Mytilus edulis: one gene and its partners. The protein of the gene in region 1 purifies or fractionates together with the protein of each later gene. This does not show direct contact. Links are inferred from orthologs where the notes say so. Each region holds a gene or a part of one and is shown in the gene's direction. Other genes may lie near its edges.

Region 1 (8,513 bases):
AGCTTCCTCCACCAATATGAACTTACCGCTAATAAATAGTGTTAAAAGTGGCATTAAACACCAATCAATCAATGCAATCAGTCAATCATCAAGTTCTAAAGGAACAAGTCTTTCTATTTACTTACCTGTTCACATAGTTCTTTGACCGACGTTAGATTACCATTAATACAAGATAAATGAAGTGATGTTTGTCCATAGTTATCTCTCTGTCTCGGATTAAAACCAGAATATATCAACAATCTCATTAATTCATTTTGTCCTGAAAAGTATATTTTAATCAGAATGTGCATTGCATATAACAATTAAAATAATTCTTAGATAAGTCCCAACCGCCTTGAAATAGCCTTCTTGAGCTGATGCAGCATAAAGGAAGCACCAATCAACCAATCAATCTAAATCCCAACTATTATCAGTAAAAAATGATGTAAAAAATATTGATGATATTTTTCACATCACACCTCATTTCATATTTTGACATGCATGCATACATGTACGTTCAAACTTAACCTTAGTAAACAGTTCATAGAAGTGTTTCAGTGTACATATGTATATGATGCTTCCTCTTGTATATATCTTTTGTCTTCAAGGGCAACACATCTGTAGTAAACCACTTGGACACATGAATCAAGTGCCTCCTACTCCATATTTGCCCACTGTTCAGAGTATTGATAGTCATGCTTAAATCCACATCATTTGGACTCTGTTGGATGGTTGTCTCATTGGTAATCATACCCCATCTCCTTAATTCATACATAGTGGTGTGTATTCACCTTATGGTTATTTGTATTCCAAATAACTTACTACAAAGTTAATCCATGTGTTTCTGTGTATTTATTATTATTACCCATTTTTTTATTTTTCTGTCAACAATTTAGATCAAATCTTTCTTATGAAACACACAACATACTTGTGTATCAAATTTATACCCTTAAAAGCTGCCTAATTGAATTGATTCTGAAGAAATACACAATATGCTATACTATGTTATGACCATGTTATTAAATTTCTACCTTTAAATGCTGCCCAATGTAATGCATTGTCTCCATCCCTGTCTACTATCTGTAGTCTTGCTCCTTTACCCATTAGGTAACCAGCTAACATTGTATGTCCATATTGTGCTGCCACTATTAACGGTGTACACCCTTTATTGTCAACAACATCTATAGAAACACCTGCCTGAAGTAAAATGTCAACTATTGCTACATGTCCATTCACACAAGCCCAATGAATTGGACGTGCTCCTAGTTCATTATTGCTGGCCTCATCAACAGGGCCTTTGTTGTCTAAGATGAATCGCAGTATAACAGTGTGGCCTCCAAGACATGCCCAATGGGCAGGAGTGTGTCCTTTGTCATCTCGGAGTGAGAAAACTGATGGTCCATCTTCAGCTGCTGTCTGAACTGGTACCAACATACTGAAACAAAAATCACAGTTTTTAACATGTTTAAGCCTTAACGGTACATGTACGTCCAGACAGTACAGTATATTTATAACTATGGTGAAAACTAAGTCAAATTTCATTATTTTTAACAAATAAAGTATTACCTACAATGTAGGCCATGTAGGAGTATACAATGTAAACAGTTAAATTATAGCTAATTCTGCTTTTACCAGCTCATTTAAGCTATTATATGCTTTTTTTTAAAACACAAACATGACTTAGCTGAGAGGGCAAGAGAGCAGATAGTTACTCTGTGAAAACATTGTCTACCAAGGCAACAATCTGCTTTATTATACCTCAGTCATCATTTTGTATATAAAATAAGTACACAATATTTTCATTATTTTTTCAAATTGCAAGCGTAGAACTTAATTGGACCAGTCAATAGTTTCCAACTATTGGACCTCGGTGAAACTATTTAACCGCAAACGTCATCATATATCGCAGAATTTCAAATGCAGCTACAGTATTGACTAATTTCAGAATGCCGTGGGGGTTGCAACATCGAGTTTTACCCCTTTTATCTAGGGTTTTATCAGTGCAGAACGTAGTTTAAACTGCTTTACCATTCAGAATATATATGATAATGAAGTAAACATGAAACAATATAATTGTGTTTTTGTTTTTTATATTTATACGATAGTTGATTTAGCCCCAACATTTATTGTCTGATGTCTCTTTGGTCAAATAAAACACTTACTGACCATGCTGACTGGATATTCATGTAACAGTAAGTTCATTGACCCCTCAGATATGCATCAGGTGGGTCTCATTGGGGTCTAAGCGTGACGCGGGATTGCTGATTTTTCGTAAGCGTGATACGGGAAAGTCAAATTATTGTGCCATGAAAACGGGAATTAAGGTCTAGCGGGACACGGGAAATTACAAAAAAATTAGAATTGCTTAGGTACATAGTATAAGCCGGATACGTGAATCTGACAAAACAGTAAGCAGGATCCGGGATCAGAACCCCCCATCAGGGCAATAGTTGCACCTCGGAGACAATAAACAATAAAACTTACTATTTCACTTATACCCAGTCAATAAGTATACAATATCACTCTCTGAGATATCTGTTCATTTGATATTTAATTTATCAAACTAAATGTTCTGTCAACAGTCAGTATTGTCATTTAAAAATCATAAGGGTAAGTAGTAAACTATGACTTCATATACAAAAGTAACACATCATTAGAAAAGAAATAAAAGTTAAGCAACATGCATTTATGCTTTGTTAACAGTTTTATGAAAAAGCCTAAGGCCGAAACGTAGAACTTTTACTGAACATTGTCTTTTAAATAGTAATTGATAGTGAATTCAATTCCTTGTCTTTTGAATTATTAATACATTATTGATCTGCATGGGAGGGTGACATTTAAATAGTGTCTGAAGTAAAATGCCTTCCTCATATTTACAAATCAAAATCAGGCAAATGCCTTTCACATGATCATGATGATGTTTATTGATTTTTTCAAAGAAATTTCAGTTTCTTATTTTTCATTTGGATAATAATCATGATAATCGTGATAATTTAATAATTTACAGGTATAACAATGTATACTACATGTATAAAGAAGCATTATGCTTCCTATAATTTTCAATGTTTTAATTTTACTATAAAAATCAATCCTACCAAGAATAATAATAAAAGTTTAATAAAAACAAATTAGTATTCTGTGAAGTTTTAAACTGCACTCACAAGTATGATTTAGTATTCGTGGTCATGGTGGTATATTGTCCCATTTCCATTCTCAATTTTATTAATGCAGAAACTGCAAAATAATTTGAACAAGAATGTGTCATAGTACACAGATGCCCCATTCGCCCTATCAATGGACTGTGAAATTGGAGTAAAAACTCTATTAATTTGAAAGATCATATCATAGGGAACATGTGGACTAAGTTTCAACTGTTGATTGGACTTCAACTTCATTAAAAACTACCTCGACCAAAAACTTTAACCTTAAGCGGGACAGACAAACGGACGAACAGACCAGAAAACATAATGTCCATAAATAGGGCATAAAATTGACACAAGGGTGACACTAATATGGTGCAATCAGCTAATATATCACAATATACCTCAAAATGTAGCTATTATTAAACCTTGTAATTATGTAAATGACTAGCAACATAGTAAACAAACAGTAATTTCTAAATTAAACAAAAACTTTGAACACGTTTTCATTGCTTCATCTAACAAATAGAATCCCTTTAAATTATATTATTGGTTACTTCACTTTACAAAATTCTATGTAAAACATAAACATTAGTGAAACATGTAAAACTTATAGATTCAGATGATGTGCAAGAGAGATAGAGACGGATGTGTGCGATTTGGTTGGATTTATATGTTGAAATTACCCAGATTTGATTGCATCAAATATTGGATGATTAGGAGGACTTTTTCCATCTTTGACCGCACTTTCTGTCTCCCCAGGACCATGTTTATGGTCTCTGGAGGCTGGTGTTTGGTTAGTTGACATGTTTCCTTTCCGAGATGTTCCAACATGTACATAAATTATTTAACGGATTTACAGACGAAACGAAAGACGGTCGTTCGAAACGTTTCGGTCACATACCAATTCGTCCACAGGTCGTTTCGGCCAAACTTCCAGTTCGTCCACAGGCATTTCGGTCATACTTTGCCTTATTATGCATTCAAGAGGTATGATAGAGAATAAAAAAAAGGAAGAATTTTGTCAAACTTAGCCAAAATATGAAGTATATTTTGTGATAGATTCAAAACCAAGTAAAAATGTCAGACATGTATAAAATCAAGGTCACCGAGCTGAATTTTTTTTTCTCAGTAGACACTGGTTGTGAAAAAGGAGGATTTTTCTGGATAAACATATTTTGTTAAATTAATATACATCACTTTTTATCAACAAGTTATCTTGTTTTTAAAATGTTATTTCAATTTGATTGTGAACTTTACGAATATTTTTGTAACATTTTTTACTGAATTAAAATACATCTTTATCTAATATGGTTGGTTTTTTTTTTACTATTTTTAAATTTAAAAAAAAAATCTTTTTCTACCTTTTATCAAGGACGTATGTTAGTTATACGTAACATGTACGTCCTTTTATATAAAAATCATGGCCGCAATTAATGACTTTACAAAGTTTGTCCGAACTCAGTTCGTGGCAGCATATGGCCGAAACGACTGTTGCCGAACTGGCTGCATGACCGAAATTACTGTTGCCGAACTGGTAGTGTGGCCGAAATGACCAGTAGCTGTTGCCGAACTGGTAGCATGACCGAAATGACTGTTGCCGAACTGGTAGCATGACCGAAATGACTGTTGTCGAACTGGTAGCATGGCCGAAATGACTGTTGCCAAACTGGTAGTGTGGCCGAAATGACTGTTGGCGAAACGTCCTGCATCGAAATTCAGAGATAGGGAACACTGAGACCACTATGACAAAGAGTAGTCTCGGGTCAACACGGTCACCATGGCGTCATTTATATTACATTGGGATGTGGAATGATTACTATAATGACATTTCGAATTTCCAACATAGTCCATTTACATCCATATAGGCCCAATTGATAATTCCAAGTGTCATTACTCTTTCAGAAAAAAATATGAGCAAAGGTGTCGGCGTGCTTCTGATTTATCTGTTTTAACAATCCTAAAATATATCTCTTCAATCAGTAAAATTTACTGAACTTTATTTATGTGCAATTTCTCATTTACGCTGAATCAAAAACTTGACAAACTCTCCGACCTTTATAGTAATTATTCATTTTAATTATGGGCCGAATCGACTTGGGGCCGGAACGACCTGATACCCAGAAGAACTAACAGATTCGTTACACATAAAAATCTACAAATTTAATTTTCAGTACTCCTCAAGACTTTAGCACTGATTTGACGATGACGTTAGAAGGCCGGAAATTTCATAAATAATGGCTGCTGCTATGGATGTCGATGACGGTGATCTTGGAGAATCTTCAGGTTTGGGAGCAGACAAAGCTGGAAAGAAGAGATTCGAAGTTAAAAAAGTAAAACATTTCGACCTTTTACACAAACTCATTCCTTTTTCGGAAATAATATCTACGCATCTTGAGTGTTACTGTTGGTTCTATTTTTACTATTTTAGAAATACGAAAATACGAAACATTTTATTAAACATTTAAGGAAAGCTCAATTATGAACATAATCATTAATATCATAGATACATTTAGAGTAGTCCAAATAAGTATGACATCTTGAAAGGCTATTATATTTTTTTCTTTGATGCCTAACATGGTCGTAAGACGTCAAAGCAAAAATTAAAAATAGCCTTCCAAGACTCCAAAGAAGTCATAATTATTTGGACTAATTTTAGAGTTGGCCAAAAGCAAAGGGCCTTACTCAGGTTGAGCTCAAGTCATGACAAGTTGGGTATTCCTTGTTTTCAGAGTACACTCCAGTTTTTCTGGTGTTATAAAAACAGTATATATATATATATATACATGATATAGGGACCGGTAGGTCTCTTCACCACCGCACACCACCGAACACCTTAAAAGTTTATTATTTTGTCTTTCATCATTATAAATGTGTCTTAAATATTATATTCAAGTTATTAATTTAACAAATCAGAAGATTAAGAGTCCAAAAATCTACAGAAAACAGAAAGGGAGAGTCTATAACACCCCACTTTTTGAACTCTGCAGACCCCCATGGACACCTCAAATATATTTTTTTCCGTTTTTTTCTTCTTCTATCTCTTCTATAAAACATTTGTCCCAATAATAAGAAAATAGACAAATATCAGAATCTAACCGAGAACAGAGATTGAGGATACTTGAACTGATTACTAAATATGAATATTAACACACACAATGTAATCCGGAAAGTGATGAATCCTGAGACGTTTTCCTTATATTGATTATCGACTTTAACATAAAAATGATGCCCATATAAATCTAAAAATTGTTTAAATTATACCTAATTTAATTTGTTTTATCATTTTATCATGTTTATTGTATAATATCACAGTTTATCTTAGTGGTTGGTGGTTTTTATGATGTTCAGTGGTTTTCGGTGATGTTTGGTGGTAAAAAGACACACCCTGTAGGAACCACTTATTTCCTTTTTAATTTATGCCTATGGTATGAAATCTACAAAAGCGCACCTCCTACATGTGATAACAATGTTTTATGATCATGATGATAGCAAGTGTTTTTATTAGTTAAAAAATCAGCTAATTTCAAATAAGACAACCGAGAAACTGAAATATAACAGAATTTTGTGACCGTGTGACATTTTTTGAAAAATGTGAGTTACATGTATTAAAGTACCTTGTGTTATATTATTTAACATGTTTAAAGGTATATAGGGGAAAACAATTCTGAGACAAGTGCCTGTGAATTGCAAACCTGTACACCCAATATCAATAGTCATGATAGTGTTACATACAACTGTATCTGTCATATTGTAACTTGATTGTCCATTTTGTATATTAGAAGTATATTTTTTAATATTTTCTATTTCAGTGGAATGCTGTAGCTTTATGGGCCTGGGGTATGTACACTATTAAAGTGATAAATTAGTTCAGGTGGACATGATGATGAATATTAGAAGTACATCAATGAATAGAAGTTTTACATTTGAATTCAGACAGGAGTTATTTTCTTCAAATCTGTCACATATTTTAATGTGCCAGTCCTAAGTGGTGAATGTTTTCAGTGTTCCTTAGCTATATAAAATTGAGAATGGAAATGGGGAATGTGTCAGAGAGACAACAACCCGACCAAATAAAAAACAACAGCAGAGGGTCACCAACAGGTCTTCAATGTAGCGAGAAATTCCCACACCCGGAGGCGTCCTTCAGCTGGCCCCTAAACAAATATATACTAGTCCAGTGATAATGAACGCCATACTAATTTCCAAATTGTACACAAGAAACTAAAATTAAAATAATACAAGACTAACAAAGGCCAGAGGCTCCTGACTTGGGACAGGCGCAAAAATGCGGCGGGGTTAAACATGTTTGTGAGATCTCAACCCTCCCCCTATACCTCTAACCAATGTAGAAAAGTAAACGCATAACAATACGCACATTTAAATTCAGTTCAAGAGAAGTCCGAGTCTGATGTCAGAAGATGTAACCAAAGAAAATAAACAAAATGACAATAATACATGAATAACAACAGACTACTAGCAGTTAACTGACATGCCAGCTCCAGACTTCAATTAAACTGACTGAAAGATTATGATTTCATCATATGAACATCAGGCACAATCCTTCCCGTTAGGGGTTTAGTATCATACTATCATAGTCGTAACATATATGAGAAGAACATAACCCGTGTCATGCCAACAACTGTTTTTAGAATAAATGTGTTTAGTTCCGATGCAAAGACCTTATCAGTGACTCAATATTAACGCCAAAATATGCAATCTTTAATGACTTGACAACAGTATCGTAATTATATCCCTTCTTAATAGGCAGTGTCTGCGCGTACCCGCATGTGGGTACGAATAGTCAAATTGACATTCGTAGGCTACGCGTACCCACATCCGGTTTTATAATAAAATGCAATCAAATCGGGAATTAAACGTGAAATATATACAGAAATTATCGATAATATGGGGATTTCGAGTAGAATGAGTGAAGGCAAGGAATTGGTATAACAAATAATATTTTCGAATTGTATTTATAAGTTAATAATATCAGAGACGTCTCTGATAATATATAATAAATGCACATGTACTGATTGAAAATGAAATATACAGTCCCTGTAAACTATAGTCCTATAATCTGATAATATATAATTTCCGAATTTTAAGTTGCTTCCACGCCTCAGAGGCAAAATATTTTTTGATGCGCTGAAGGTTTAAATTACATTTTCGTCAAACATTTTGTTATCTATTACATGTACACGATTAAGAATACACGATGCACGCACGTTACACGGAAAATACACGGAACGATGAATGATGAACGCACGATTGTTACACGCACGATACACGCACGATGCACGCACGCAACACGCACGATACACGATGAACGCACGGAATAATGGTCAGTTTGAATTTTAGAAGGTCTGTACATGTATTAACGAAGCTTTCATT
Region 2 (7,695 bases), on another chromosome or scaffold:
TTAATATACTGTATATCTTTATTTTTATTCCTTATCCTTATAAATATTTTTTTGGGGGGCCGAATTGACTGTACATATGGGCCGGATTGACGTGGGACGGATCGACTTGGGCCGGATCGACGTGGGGCTGGATCGACCCGAAAGCTCACTATTTGGAAGTCCGCAAATTTTGACAAAATTCTGCGCCACTTGAACTTTTGATACCATACAACAATCTCTTTTCCATTGTGGTGTCAGATATATTCCATTGTGACATAACATTCACAGGAATCTTTATGTTTATCATTTCCAGTAATGTCTGACAAATAGAGATAAGGTATATAAACATCCTCCTGTATATCCTCCTCTCGTGGGTTTTCTGTGATAATGCATTATAACGTCACACTTACAATTGGAAATAAGAATTCATATGACATATAGGAAAACATTTGATCTAACCATACATTTGTGAGACATCTTTTTCTTCTTCTTTAGGTTTCTAGCGATCCTTCAATTATTGAAGATTATTTGCCGGGCGTCGACTATAAAATTTATAATTTACATTTTAGCAGGGAAAAAAAAAAAATCAAAAATAACAATATAAATAAAAAACAAAATAACGTATGTACATTCAAAAAAAAAAATTTTGATAAAACTATATACATTTGATAACAGAATAGTTAGGGATAGAATATGGGGATGAGAGCAGATTCTGTGATCATACTCTTAAATCCCTCTACTGTACTGCATGATACTATTTATTGTGGCAGATAGTTCCAATTTATAATTGTTCGTGGATAAAAAGAATATTTATAACTGTCTTCAGATGTTTGTATTTGCCTAAATGAGTGCGGATTGCTATGTCTGGTTCTATTGTCTAGTGGTATCAAAAGGTTATGTGTAGGGACTGCAACAATTTCATGAATAATTTTGTAGAAGAAAACAAGTCTGTAACGTAAGCGCCTAATTGCGAGTGGGTACCAATTTAGGTCTGTCATCATTTCAGTAACTGAGCTGGTGTTATGGAAGCGATTGCATGAGAAGCGTGCTGCTCTTCTCTGAACTTTTTCGATTTGTGTAATTTGCTGTTTTTGATGTGGATCCCAGATTGTTGAGCAGTACTCTAATTTTGGTCGGACAAGAGCTTTATATGCATGTGCTTTAACTTTTGGAGAGGCTATTTTTAGGTTTCTACGAATAAATCCAAGGGACTGATTTGCTTTTGATGTCATGTTATCTATATGTTTGTCCCATTTTAAATTTGATTGAAGAGTTAGGCCTAAATATTTTGTAGAGTCAACTTTTTCTAGAGAGTGATTGTGTAATTTATAAGTGAAGTCTAAAGGTTTGCGTTTTTGAGTTACACTGAGAATGTTGCACTTATCAGGATGAAAATGCATGAGCCAGTCCTGCTCCCACCTGCCAGCCGCTTCTAAGTCAGACTATCTTAATGTGCTATGTTCAATATATTCTGCCAAATCGTTAATGAAGATTAAAAATAAAATTGGACCAAGCACTGTGCCTTGAGGTACCCCAGATGTTACAGGTATTTTATTTGATGTTTCACCTTCAAGGACTACAGTTTGTGTTCTGTTTGTTAAGAAATCTTGAATCCAATGATATGCATTGCAATTTATACCGTAGAAACCAATTTTGTACATGAGGTGGTGATGTGAAACTTTATCAAATGTTCTAATAGTTTGCAGCAGATGCAAGTCAATGATATTGGGCGATATTTTATTGGATCGTGTTTGTCGCCTTTTTTGAATGCTGGACATACACTTGCGTGACGCCAGTCATCTGGGATCTTTCCAGAGTTGAGTGATGATTGGAATATGATTGTTAAGATGGGAGTGATGGATGATTTACACTCTTTTAAAATTTTACCATGGATGAGATCAGGCCCAGCTGCTTTGTTGATGTTAATGTTATTTAGAAGTTTTTCTATGCCCTGTTGTTGTATTTTAATATCAGGCATTTGTGGATGTTTACTGGCGCCCTTATCTGGTATTGGGTCATCTGTTACAGGTGTGAATGATTTTTTGATCTGTTCATTTAGAATGTTAGCTTTCGCTTTTGAGTCAGATGTAAGTGAGCCCTCTTTTTGGAGTGGTGGTATATTAGAGCTTTCAGACTTTTGTGTTTTTATATAACTGAACAGATTTTTTGGGAAGCTCTTTGATATGGTAGTAGTGTTGTCATCAACTGGTATACCACATATCATATTTTCAATATAATTCCAATAAGATATTCTTTGTTGTTTTTGTATATCATGTTTTAATTTTTTGAGTTGGTCTAGTTTCCCCTTGCCTTTCAATTTGTACTTTTGATATTTTTTCTTATACTTTTTCATTTGTCGTCTAATACTGTCTGTTATCCATGGTAAATTTTTGCTGTTTCTCATCATTTTCTGGGGTATGTTCTCAGTGATAGTGTTTTGTAATGAGTTTTTAAATGTTAACCAAAGAGTGTTTGTATCTTCACTATCTTTTTTATATACGATCTTTTGATATATTTCATCGATATCCTCTTTTATTTTTTGCCAGTTTGCATTTTTATATTTGTATACTTTACGTGGCTCGGTTTGGCAACTTTTTAATGAAAGTAAACATTCTATATATACAATATCATGGTCTGCCTCCCCTAATGGTGGCATGGTTTCAGTTTTTTCAATGATGGCCGGATAATTTGTTAACACAAGATCTAAAATTTTGTCATTTCGAGTTGGTATGTTTACGACTTGTGCTAATGGATGGTCATTTATTATATCTAACAGTTGTTGATGTTGTTTTTGGTTTGCTTTTCCAGGGATGACGCTAGTTGTTTCCCAATTGATGTTTCCTAAATTAAAGTCCCCACCAATAATTATGGCTGACTTTGAGTTTGCGTTTATTCTGCTAATGGATTCATTTAGTAAATCTAAAGATGTATCATCATCTGGCTGAGGTCGATAATAAGCACCTATATAACATTTACGTGCATTTGATATCAATAGTTCTACCCATATCATTTCACATCCTGTGTCTAGTTCTTTGAGTTCTGTACATAAAAAATTATTTGATATAGCTATGAGTACGCCTCCATGACATTGTCCTTTTTTATTTGGTGGTCTATCTTTTCTAAAAACTGTGTAATGATCTTTTGAAAAATATTCATAAGAAGATGTTTTAGGGTCTAGCCAGGTTTCAGTACCTATTATGATATCAGGCTGTGTGGTATCGACCAAAATATCTACTTCTGGTTTTTTGTTCTTAATAGATTGAAAGTTGATATTTACTATTTTTAAAGGTCTGAGTAACTTATTTTGGGTATTTATACCTTTTTTGTTTTGTTTTCTGGTGTCCTTTTGTGATATTGGTGATGAACAAGCATGTGGCTGTCCAGGACTACCAATGTCGCTTAACAATGAAAAAGAATTGTTTGTGACTGATGATGATATGTCAGTATGGTTGAAGAATGAACTGCTAAAGTTTGGGAGTCCACATTTTAAACAATTCCAGGACAGGTTACTGTTGTCCATTATGTTATACATTGTTGTTTGCATACCTCCTTGGCAGTCTACATGGTACCAAGTTTTACAAGAGTCGCACTCTAGAGCTTTACATTTCCAAGTGACATTTTTGCCACATGAACCGCATGGCCAGCGTGGCATTCTAGGGCCTGGGTTGAGTTCTATTTGACCACTTAATAAAATTTTTAACAACAAGTGATGGTTTTTCAGAGTTGCATGTAATGCTTTATTGCAGCAGTGTATTTTGCATGAATGATATAGCCAGAAATACATGGATACAAATTTGTTCTCTGTAATGTTAATTTTTGGAACAAATAACAAAGCATGATGATCTTCAGTGTCTTTTGGGTAAGATTTGATAAAGGGTGATCTACCTGTAGTTTTGCCATTTTCTAATGACACAAACTTATGACATTTGTACAGTACAAAGATTTTTATTTAGTGTGAAAATTCCACCTATCAATTTCAGAATCTATATCTACCTGGCATCCTTTGAGGCTGTGTGGTCCACCTGAAATGAGTGTACTTGGCTGGATCGACTTGAAGCTGACCCCATTCTGAACTGTCGAAACTGCTACATGGACGCCGCCATTTGTAAACAACGTCTTGGTTACTTCGGCGTCTCGAAAGCGCTTCATTCCAAATCAGTAACTCTTTCTTCTGAAGGTTTAAAAGTAACTCAAAATGAAAACAAAGCTGAACGAACTAATTTAAACGTGTTTCTTTTTAAGATATGGAAGAGTGTCATGTCTCAGAAGTGCTACGTCTCCCAGTGATTCTTTATAAAATTTTAAGTTTTCTTCCTTGCAAAGCTTTAAACTCGTGTTCAAGGTAAATTAAATGCAATACACCAGTATATATTTTTTTATAAGTACAAGATAAGAATCATTTCACATTTGACATCTTACTGATGGTGGGTATTAGTTATCACAAGGACGTATAACTAACATATATAACTAATATACGTCCTTGGTTATCCGAAATATTTAACATTGTTCATGAGTGTATTTGTTATAGTGATGTTGCACCCTTTTATTTATCTTGTTATATGTTTTTGTCTTAGACTCAGATCAACCTCCGATCTATTCTTACATCTGTTCTTATAATCGATATCAAAGTCTGACGTTACTTTCTCAAATCATTATCCGATATTTCAGGATAAGAATGCCCTTTACCGTCAGGTGTCAATAGATTATTTCTGCGAACATCTGCGTAAAATTTGTAAAAATTCTACCGTGATTCGTCAAAATGTTCTTATCATTATTCTTCATAGGTCTCAAATAATTATCCAAATGGTGAAGTTGAAATCTTTCTTAGTAAATTTTCCGGACGCCATCACAAGTTTGTTGACCTTTATGGAATTACCGTTTCACAAATGATATCAGAGATGTTCCTTATGTCGCTACTTCAATCCCCTTCCCTTTTCATGAATGTAACCTACCGAAATAGACTATTTACTGGATTTGTATTAATATGAGCAACATGACGGGTGCCACATGTGGAGAAGGATCTGCTTAGCCTTAGGAAACACCTGAGATCAACCCCAGTATTTGGTGGGGTTCTATAATGTTGCTTAATCTTTTTACTATTATTTGTCTATTAGTCTTTTTCTTTTATCATTTTATAGCCATGGTCATGATGGTGCTGTCAGCTTATTTTCAATCTATAAGTTTGACTGCCCCTTTGGTATCTTTTGCCCCTCTCTCATATATCTAATGACTCTGTAGTTGGGCATGTGACATACCAGATTTCAAGCTGCCGTATTTTCTGGCAATGAAAATACAACCATACATGCCATATGAAATAAGAGACTGCAAGAGGGTTAGAAAACTATTTATTTAAAAACAAAAGCAGAAATGTTATACATTTATAAATCAAATTGTACATTTTAAAACCAATTTCTATACTCCTCTTCAAATGCAGTGAACAGGATTAATTAAATTGGATGAATGTTTATGCCACCCCCCCCCCCCCTTACAAGAGGGGGCATTAAGTTTTACCCTTGTCCCCTTGTCCTTCTAGATCTGTACATCCACCCGTCCCAAAATTGGTTTTTCGTTTTTTCTAACTTCAGTTTGCTCAACTAAATGTTTTGAAACTTATACATAATGCTTATTACCACAAACCACAGATCAAGTTCAAATTGTGTTGGCTTTACTTTTGCTGTTCTTGAGTTGACTAGCTACAAAAATGTAACAATTATTAAGGCCCTACCAAATGGCGTGTCGCTTTATGGTGATTAGTTCATCTGTCCATATGAAACAAATTGTGTCCGCTCTATATCTAGAGAACCGTTATGATTGCAAAGTTTATACTTGACATGTACCTATATTAACAGACACCTGGAGAGGATGTGTCATAATTTTTGTACAACTTCCTAGGTCAGAGGTTAAGATTTAAAACTTTTGTTCTAGTTGACGACCCCATGTCCTCTTGTAGAGTTCATGTCTGCTCCTTATCTTTAGAACTGTTATGATTTCAAAGTTGATGCTTGATATGTATATTAACGAACTCCAGAGGGTTTGTCATAATGTATGTACATCTTCCTAGGTCATAGGTCAAGGTAAAAAACTTTGGTTTCAGTTGACAACCCCATGTCCTATGGTTAAAATTGTGTCCACTCTTTATCCTGAGAACTGTAATAATTTCAAAGTTTATACTTGACATGTATATTAACCAACACCAGAGGGTGTGTCATAATGTATGTACAGCATCCTCAATGATCCTAGGTCAAAGTCAAGGTTAAAAACTTTGGTTTCAGTTAACAACCTCTTGTCCTATGGTAAAGATACAAATTTTTACCACATGGGCCTACAGAGATGGCTCTTATCTCAATGAAAGAGCCCAAATAACATTCAAGTTTAATATTTAAAAAAATTGATTTCAGAGTATGTAAAGTCTGGAGTGAGTATGCAGCAACTATTAAGAAAAAAAGAAAGAAAATAGAATGGATGTCATTAGAATGTGATGAAGAAGAGGGTCTGAACAGTAAAACAGAAAACTTGTCTGCCTTCATTGAGGTATTATTGTAAAAAGTGATAGATTTTATTAGAGGTTTTATGTTATGGCAGTGTTTATGGGTTTTTTTGTCAAACAGTGAACATTGTATAGATTTATTTTATATATTTATGCTTTCATTTATAGCAGATATTGTGTTAACTATTGATATCTAATTGTATAATGACCTAACATATTGAGTAGTTGACCACTAGTTTTCTAAGGAGTATGCAGCGGTTGGAAATATAAAATAACACTATGTTTTGTTTTAGTTGTTGTTCAAAACATTGATATTCACACTTGTTAGCTGAGCTAATTTTATATCAATTTTTCCAGTCAATCAGATATCACACAATTAAAAGGATACAGTTTAACTATATATATCTATAGATAATATTTAAAAAAAAATATATAATTGCACTTTTTTGTGGGAACCCAAAATATTTTGAAAAAAAGACTTTAATACTTTGTAATTTCCCATTGCAATATGCTGAATAGATCTAATGACTTGGGGAGGGTTCATTTTAAGTTTGTTAATGATTTTATTTAGATTGATAAATTTAACTTGGATTTATTGCATGTTTTGTGCATTTGTCATTTCAGCAACTATCTAGTGAACCAGATCATGTTTTAATGTTTTGTACATCCAGACTCTATGAAACTCCAGTCAGTTTACCATCATCTCATCCGACAAGGTTTCCACGCAATGCAAAGTGTGAAGCTGTCGAAGTTACCTCCTTCGTTGAAAAACTTTTACCAAAAATATGCCCAATGTTTGCATTAGTTGCAGATGGGGTTGTAGGTTTGTATATATTTGAATTATTAGGTGCTCTAATATAAAACACAATAGTAAATGTTCAAATTATTAAACATTTAAGAATGTTAAATACTGAATTTTTAAATTTACTAAACACATTTAATTGGATCTTAAAGCAGATTTCTTCAGATTATTTGTAGCGCATCAGTTTATGAAATATTATTGAAAGTTTTAACATAAACATGTAAACATAGAAAATATCAAATATGTATTGGATAAAATGAATTTGCAACTGTATAAAAAAAAATGAAGATAGAATAAACCTAACTGAAAAAAATATTTTTCTTTTGTGTATTTTTAAGTTGAATGTTTTGCCAAGAGTGAAGTCACATCTGGAGATTAGAAAATTTTCAGCTGGAGGTTTGGCCTCATTATCATATCATTTTAAGTT
Region 3 (8,499 bases), on another chromosome or scaffold:
ACGACAACCACTGTTGGACAGGTGCACACATTTGCAGCGGGATTAAACGTTTTAATGGTACCAAACCTTCTCTCTTTTATGAAACAATAGCATAACATCACAGGGGCGGATCCAGCCATTTTAAAAAGGGGGTTCCCAACCCAGGACAAAAGGGGGGGTTCCAACTATATGTCCACATTCAAATGCATTGATCGGCCAAAAAAGGGGGGTTTCAACCCCCGGACCCCCCCCCCCCCCCCACCCCCCACCCCCTGGATCCGCCAAAAATGCAAAAATTCGGAATAACTAAAAATGTCAAAGTTTCAGTACGTTTTCGATACAGAACAATTCTCAAAACCATTTTTAGTTGCATTTAATGTACAAATGCATATCAGTATATACAGTAAGAGATCAAAAGTCTTTTTCACAATTTGAAAATTCTGCTTTATACTTCACATAAAACACATTTTTATAAAAAAAAAAAAAAACTCCTACCATAGACATATATGTTTCTGTTTCTACTAAAGTTATTTTTTTTCTCGATTTGAATGATCCTCAGTTCTTTATTATCATTTTCGGAGACGTTTTGTTCTTCTCCATGAACTCACTGGCTTCAAATCGGGACGTTTGCACTTTTTTTAATGTACATTCGCGCTTCAATTCATAAGACATTTGCGATTTTACAATATTTCTTTATGGTTAAAAGTTAAACATTCTATAACACATTCGCGTTTAAAAATAATTTTATAGCGCATTGATATAGTTATATGTATACCTAAAAGTGAACATTTGACATTATGAAGACACCAAAGACACATAAAGTTATCACAGGCCAGTTTTCGCCTAATATCTGAAGCCCAAGAAATAAACAATTTTGCTTTTGTAATCTGTCCTGACTGGTATTTTCCCCTCATTTTTATTATATACAAGTACACACCCGTGATATCGCGGGTCCGTGGCTGAATTAAAGTATATAACTATGCCTAAGCCTTATTTTAGTAATTAGTATTGTCATCTGATAAAGTCATGTCGATTATAAGATAAAAAGTTTTCTCTGCTTTCAAATCTTTCTGTTTGAACCCGTCGACCTGGAACTTATCAGTTATTTATAATAATATTAATTATTTGGAAAACAAAAGGTCCTGGCTATCCAGGAATGGAGTATTTTTTAATCAACAGCATTGTCCTATATTAGTTATCTTAGAAAGTCTTGCTGATTGCTGAATAAAACTACAATAGGGAACAATTTGACAATGATTGAATTTAGTAGTGTCAGCCCTTTGATTATGACCCGTATATATAGTAAAATCCTAAATACACCGTTTGGTGGTGCGCCTGTCAAATGCGGAACGTACAGATAAGGTAATAGCTGACAGGTGAATATACTATTGGTATCGGTATCGGATTCGACCCGGAACTTGTTAATTATTGGCAATATTAATTATGTGGAAAACAAAAGGGTCTGGAGTGGTGTAATTTTTAATCTACACCATTGTCCTATATTAGTTATATATAGAGTTGAATTCTTTGATTTGTCGTTTTTACCCGATGACGGCTGACAAATTGGACCTCGTAATTTTAGTATTATAGATTCTAGTCTCTTTTTTTCATTTCTTGACTGACATGTCTGTTCGTCAATATATAACGAATGCTAATATTATAAGCCGACTGTTGTTCAACGGTAAAAATCCATCGTGACATAAACATTTTTTCCTGTACTTGTCTCTATATTTTTATACTCTAATGTTTGAGACTGTGTCTCCCTTGACATCATTTACGAGTATGGTCTTCGAAGGAATCGATTCTAGTCCGTCGGAAGGGGACGTTAAATGGCTGACCCATGTTAAGAGAGAGCCATATCTCAGCTTGCACGTAAAAGATACCCTTGTAGATTTCGAAAAAGAGTAGGCTAATGCCGCTACAAGACAACACTCGCACCCGCAAAGTGGAAAGGGATTGATATAAGTTGAAATAACTTGTTTTCCCAATTCCCTATAAACAAATATGTTTAAACTAAGACGGTGTCAGTGCGAATTTTACTACAATTGTATCAAAATTTAAAGGGCAGATGACCACAGTCTGTGGAGCGCAGATGTCATATCGTGTTACAGGTTAAAAAAAAGCGCAAACATCTTGTGCCCAACAAATTTACAACTTACCAATTAGTTCCTACAAAGAAAGATTTAAAAATGATTAAAATTGTCAACACAGATACGAATATTTTGTTTTAGGTTTCATGAAGCTAGAGATAAATCCTCACACAAAAACACTGAGTACTGTGAAACTGACAATAATCATTACGATGCTTGATTTTTATTACTGACCACATTTTTGATACGTTTGGAGGACGTGTTTTCTAACAGTTAGTCGGAATTTATGTGGGAACCAATTGACTGAGGTCATTTTCTTCTGATATGATCTATTATTTCATCTCACATTATAACGACGATCCTTCTCGCTGAATAATTCACACTTGATCCTTTCAAACTTGAAACAGACAAATCACATATACAAATAGGTCTAAGCCTGCCTTTGTGTGCGTGATTTTCTCACATAGTGTTGAAGATCTTTATAGGTGGCCTTGTGCTGTTTTCTGCTCTTTGGTAGGGTTGTTGTCTCTTTGACACATTCCCTATTTCCATTCTCAAGTTTATACTATATGATAAAAACTTATACCTAGATATTCACAATGAAGGTTCGCTGAGAGCTAAATTTAAGGCAAAGAAAATAATTTTAATTACTCCATTTTGAACTTTCTATGTTATGTAGCAAGCTACATTCCTGTAGGAATACATATCCTTAGCTTGCGTTCTACTTTATGATTTCTTCGATGGAGCATTATTGCTTACAAGGAATTCGAAGCTATTGTATCAAGGCTCCTAAATGTAAAAAGTAAGTAATTCTTTCAGTGATGATTTAATAACGGACACCATCATAATTTGATTTGCTGTATGGAATATATCTGTGATATAGATGACCACGGATATTCTTCACTTTTCGTGCCTAAAATCCCGACCCATTTTTCTTGATTGTGACATCAACAAATACAAGTTATCCATGATTTTACTAACTTAGTCTATGTGTTGGTTTTAAATGTTGTATTGTGTTTGATACTTTTATTATGTCAATGCTGTGTTCATTTCAATCTGTCATGTCGTATTCAATCAAATTCGTAGTTAAATAATCTATGTCAGTACGATAGGTTATGATGTGTTAGGGTTAGGGTTAAGAGAAATCCGCCTATCCTCTAATTAATACTGCGAAGCTAATGGGTAAAAAGTTAAGATAACAAGATAACAAGTGCCATGGCTATTTTTTAATCAAAAAAATTGTTTATTGAAAGAAAAAAAAATATTAACAGGGAAATTACCTTCTTCCTTTAAAATGATTTTTGTAAAAGTATTAATCTCTACACGTGCTTCATGTAAAACAATGCCGATTAAAATACATTTTAAGGAGAAGATACGGGGGAAAATTGTAATATGAAATATTGTTGATTCATCTACATCTCAAAACCAGCACCCCAGTACTATCTACTTTTGTTTGTAACTAGAGCAAAGCCAGCACATGTCTCCACTTGCAAACATGCAAATGGATTGTTGGTGCTGAATCAATCGGAACAACTCGGCCTTTCTGGTTGCACGAAGAAATAACCTCGTATGCATTAGGCGGAGGAATCATTGTCCGGAAAATTTTCCGATTCGATTCAAAATTATATTTTTTCGACTGGACTGGTACATTTTTTTTACCACTACTGATTTAACTTGCTCCTGTCCGGAAAATTTTCCGATCTGATTGAATTTTATATTTTTTCGACTGGAATGGTACAAATTTTTTACCATTACTTATTTACTTTGCTCCTTCTTTCGCGCCAAAATATTTGGCAGAGTTAAAGTTCTTGATTACTGTGATATGTAACCAAATTATAGCGCCACCTGGAGGATAGAACTTCTTTGTGTCGCGGATCACTACAATTCCGGCCAACAATTTAAGAAGAATTTCTCCGTAGTGCATACGAGGCTATTGTACTGCGTAGCGAGAATGGCCGAGTAGTTACGATTGGGTGCTGAATTTTACATCCCAATGAAGCTCAAATCAAATTTAACAGTGAAATTTTGAAGAAAAAAAGGTAAAATATTTTTTATTATAAATCAAAAATTACACAAAATACCGAACTCCAAGGAAATTTTAAGTCCCTTATAAAATGGCAAAAATCAAAAGCTTAAACACATCAAACGAAAACAACTGTCATATTCCTGTCTTGGCTTGTATGTATGTATGTATGTATGTACTGGTAAATGCCTCCGATATCCGAAGAACCCCTCGAAAACTGCGAGGGTACAGTGGCATCCATGTACACTCCCTAACGGGATTAATGGAGATGTGTCACTAACGTATGTTTATACGACAATTATTTTTACAAGGACAATCAATCCCCACCCAACACAAAGGGAGTGCTAGGACACCGGGCAGTCTGTTATTATGGTGGAGGAAGCCGAAGTACTCGGAGAGAACCACCGGGCCACTCGGTGGAAAACAGACAAACCAGAGAGATATCAGAAGATTGATCTCCAGGTCAAAGTAAGGGACAACTTTGACCAACCGAGGCCCCCAAAGTACCCATTCTAGTTTAAACTCCGGTCTGGGTACCAGAGATGTGTGTGAGAGGGTGAAAATTACCCTTCTGATGTGCTGATATTTTTAGCACCCCGAGTGAGAATCGAACTCGGGACCTTCAGCACTGTAGCCATCGGTCTTAACCACTAGACCACGCTTGTACATTTTTGTCTACATGTTATTTTTTTCCATTATTTTCTATTCTGATAATCCCACAAAGACCTTCATAATATTTGTATCATGCGGTCTTATAATTTACGGAAATAGTTGTCTGAATTTTTCTAAATTTTCATATGGTAATAGGGCAGACCTAAAAAGTCTTTTCGGATTGATCGAACTTTTATGAAGAATTAGAGAGCTTCCGAGACGAACGTAAACAAACGTTACAGTATCACATGTACAGCTGTACATTGAAGTATGTTATCTATTAGAGTTTGACCCGTTGAAAGTTTAACTATACATATGCACTGTTAACTTTATATTTCATACTCACATAGCATGGCATCAAATGACCTTGAAAAGTTCCGAACTGAATGGAAAAACGAACTTCAAGGGAGTAATGTCATTCCAGATAAAAGAGGACAAAGTTCAATAGCTGTTGCTCCTACATTAGCAATCGATATTGTCCTCCCAGAAAATATATCTAATACCTCGAATTCCAATCCAACAAATTGTTCTGAGTGCAGAGTTCACCCAGCTTTTAGGGAAAATAACAAGTGCCATACTTGTTTATTTGTCAATAAACAAAATAAAGAACATAAAACCAACACTCAGTTCTACCCATTCCAAATAGTTGATGGTCTTCTTAATTCAAAAGATAACATCAAACAAAGTTGTAGTCCGGAAAGAGAGTTATTATCAAATACTAAAGTGACAAGCACCTGTGAGAAGAAAAGAAAATATGATGCATTCAGAAAGGAAGACGTGAAAGACATCTTTTCCAATAAACAAGGTCGAAAGGAGGTTGATAAAGAGAGCTATTTAGACTTGTTTATTGCTGATTTGGTAAGATATTTTTTATAGAGTTAATGAATATACAACATTTGTCAGTGTTACATAATCTACATTTATATATATATATATTTCCAATACTATGAATAATGCTGATACACCAATAGAATTTGATTTCCATTGGAGGAAATGTTAACATTTTCCTATATATAAATCTTAGTTCTCACAACAACGTAGAATTGAAACCAAACATCAAAATTGATTGTCTTGCAAATTTCATCAAATAGCATTTTCATATTTTATATAAACATGCTTCTATGGTAAAGTGTCGGTTTTGATATGTATTTTGTCCTAACCGATTCCTCATTACTATTTTAGCGTATTTTGCCACAGCATTTGTTGGGCATCCAAGCTGACCTTGTTCCATTTTATGTATATAGTTTTGCACTTTTTTATACTTTGAGGACTGATCGAATCAGATGAGTGTGTGAGTTTAGTATGTTTTATTTTATTGCATTATATTATGTTTGGGGAAGGTTAACTTTCTGGTAATAAGACCCGTCACAGCCTGGCTGGGGAATTGGGTAGGCAAATGCTCACACTAATCTGTACAGATACAGGCTCCAAATGTCCTCCTTTTTACGCCATAACTCATGGTGGTGCTCCTAATTAAAGGAGACTCATACAGAGACAAGAAGAAGGTAATAGAAAAGAATCAACAGTTTTTTTTGTCTTCTAACATGTCTGAACTGATTACCAAATTGGAGTTGTAATAAAAATCAATTTGCTGTTGTTTTTAATTTATTAATTTCTATTTTAGGATGAAATAAATGAAATTCCATTTTTTGATCTGACAGTCCCAAGGGAGGTTGCAATAAAAATATTTGAACCTCTTGATCTCAAAGACTTGTGCAGATGTTCTCAGGTGAGTGCAATGAATGATATCATGTATATTTATATGTAGTTATTATATGGTTGGCACCTGGTGTAAAATTTGAAATTAGAAAAATTTTCATCCTGATACTGTGGATTCATTATAATTTGTTGGACATTGTTGTGGACAATTTTCGTGGATTTCGTGGCAACAGATGAAACACGAAATTAAATGTTCAACGAATACCAAATTTTATATCTCATTACTCAGTATGCTCATACTCGTAGCATCAACGAACTTGTTTACTGTTGCATCGCATTTACTTCATGATTTATCCTACCATTTTCCTAAAATCGGTCAAGAGCAATTAAGGGAAGGCAACTGTTTAAAAATAAAATGATTTTATTGACTCAAAACGATAATTTTCTCTGTCATCGCTTATGTTTTTTCGATTCTGAAGTCGATATTTAAACCAAATGTAAAGACTAATTTCCGGGAATAGTATTTTTTATCAAATTCACAGGAAATCATCAGCTTTTTAATATTTTACCTTTTAAAGTGTAAGAATATTAATGAAAATAGTTGCACTTGCTTTATTTAGCATAAAATCATTTTAAATTTACGATTTAGTGTCTAATCTGCGGAAGGGCATTTCAAGCAAGCATATTACATGGTAAACAAAGCACGTGTGTTAGTAGTGAAAAAATACTTTTTCAAATAAATCATAATTGACAATTGTCTAAGCTGAAAAGTAATTAAATAACGAAGACAGTTGGTATGGAATTTTAATTTCTTTATAATATTAGTTCAGAGCTTGTGATTAATAACCAGGTGTGAATTAAAAACACAGGTAAAGAGATTAGCAATCATTAGCCAATAGCTCCCCGAGGCATTAAATATAGTTATTAGGAGGGCCCTCAGGATTATAACACTCTACTGGAGTGGCAGGTTAATTATATAAAATCGATAACAAAACAAAAACATCTTCAAAATGGTGATTTTGAAACTCGATCTCCAAGAAATGACCGAAATTATTTCTGTTGAAAAATAGAATTTGACCTAAATCCCAATTACACGTTTAGGACAAAATACTTTCAGTTTAGGACAAGATTGGCAAATATGACTGTTTCTGGACCCTTGCTGTATATCATGTATACAATGTATAAACATGATAAACCTCTAATGATATTTTTTTTTGTTTCAGATACAAATATATACTTTTGTTAAAACCAGGATGTTGATACAAGGCTGATTTTGTTTTTGGTTTACTTCTGTGTTGATGTTTACTCTATATGTATATCTACTTTATTTATAAGACACATGACACACATTGATTATTTAATATTTTTTGTGTTGTCAATTTCCTTAATGACTTTAATAGTTTACTCATGGTTTGTTATTTTAGGTTTCAAAGAGTTGGAAAAGTTTAGCAGATGATGAGTTATTATGGAATAGAATTTGTCACAAGCTTGGTTATGAACAAGATACAGATGCTGTAGATAAATCCAAGTGGAAGACTGTAGTTAGACATCATATTGAACAGGAAAGAAGACTTGTATATAATTGGAAGGTACATATATAATAATTATTATAAACTAAAGTCAGACATAGAAAAAGCAATAAGTTAAGGTCAGTGTCATTGTTTTTCCAGATACAAGCGTTAAAAATTTGACAGGAAATGGTTATCTCTAATATATACATTAAACATTGGCACTTCTTTTTTCTTCAAACAATATGAAGAAATAACAAGAATTTTATAAGATGGTTATTTATGGCCTTTTAAATTATATGAAATGAAATTATAAAAAGAAAATTTGGTGGTTAGAATGCAATTTATTTTTTTACATGGATAAAACCAGAGGATATTATCAAATATCTGACATATAGTAAAAACTAGAACATCCTGTACAATTCAAATTTTATTTTAAAGAATTTTTAAGTCATGAAAATATATAATTGTGTGTTTCAGAACAGATTGGGAAGTTTTACACAGTTACAGCATATTCCAGGTGGAATATTATGTGCAGTTAATTCTTCTGGTGATAATATTGTAGCTGGGTAACTATTTCCTCATTAAA

What was found. Proteins that work in one complex are often made in the same cells at the same time.
Region 2: the proteins of E3 ubiquitin-protein ligase RBX1 (region 1) and F-box only protein 22-like purify together in Homo sapiens (affinity purification with mass spectrometry; 4 studies listed by BioGRID). This does not show direct contact. The link is inferred for Mytilus edulis from reciprocal best matches to the Homo sapiens genes RBX1 and FBXO22.
Region 3: the proteins of E3 ubiquitin-protein ligase RBX1 (region 1) and F-box/WD repeat-containing protein 8-like purify together in Homo sapiens (affinity purification with western blotting; 6 studies listed by BioGRID and IntAct, with this or other methods). This does not show direct contact. The link is inferred for Mytilus edulis from reciprocal best matches to the Homo sapiens genes RBX1 and FBXW8.

The regions. Positions count from the first base shown.
Region 1 is NC_092351.1:23,908,469-23,916,981, forward strand, and holds the start of E3 ubiquitin-protein ligase RBX1, read left to right. Parts: upstream 1-5,293; 5' UTR 5,294-5,356; coding exon 5,357-5,452; intron 5,453-6,931; coding exon 6,932-6,959; intron 6,960-8,513. Other genes in the region: uncharacterized protein, read right to left, coding at 126-259, 1,011-1,414, 3,806-3,927. UniProt on the Homo sapiens protein: E3 ubiquitin ligase component of multiple cullin-RING-based E3 ubiquitin-protein ligase (CRLs) complexes which mediate the ubiquitination and subsequent proteasomal degradation of target proteins, including proteins involved in cell cycle progression, signal transduction, transcription and transcription-coupled nucleotide excision repair.
Region 2 is NC_092347.1:84,613,374-84,621,068, forward strand, and holds the start of F-box only protein 22-like, read left to right. Parts: upstream 1-4,154; 5' UTR 4,155-4,223; coding exon 4,224-4,321; intron 4,322-6,377; coding exon 6,378-6,510; intron 6,511-7,090; coding exon 7,091-7,289; intron 7,290-7,695. Other genes in the region: interaptin-like, read right to left, coding at 3,973-4,046. UniProt on the Homo sapiens protein: Substrate-recognition component of the SCF (SKP1-CUL1-F-box protein)-type E3 ubiquitin ligase complex that is implicated in the control of various cellular processes such as cell cycle control, transcriptional regulation, DNA damage repair, and apoptosis.
Region 3 is NC_092349.1:74,090,349-74,098,847, reverse strand, and holds the start of F-box/WD repeat-containing protein 8-like, read left to right. Parts: upstream 1-4,958; 5' UTR 4,959-5,094; coding exon 5,095-5,601; intron 5,602-6,367; coding exon 6,368-6,472; intron 6,473-7,826; coding exon 7,827-7,991; intron 7,992-8,390; coding exon 8,391-8,479; intron 8,480-8,499. UniProt on the Homo sapiens protein: Substrate-recognition component of the Cul7-RING(FBXW8) ubiquitin ligase complex, which mediates the ubiquitination and subsequent proteasomal degradation of target proteins.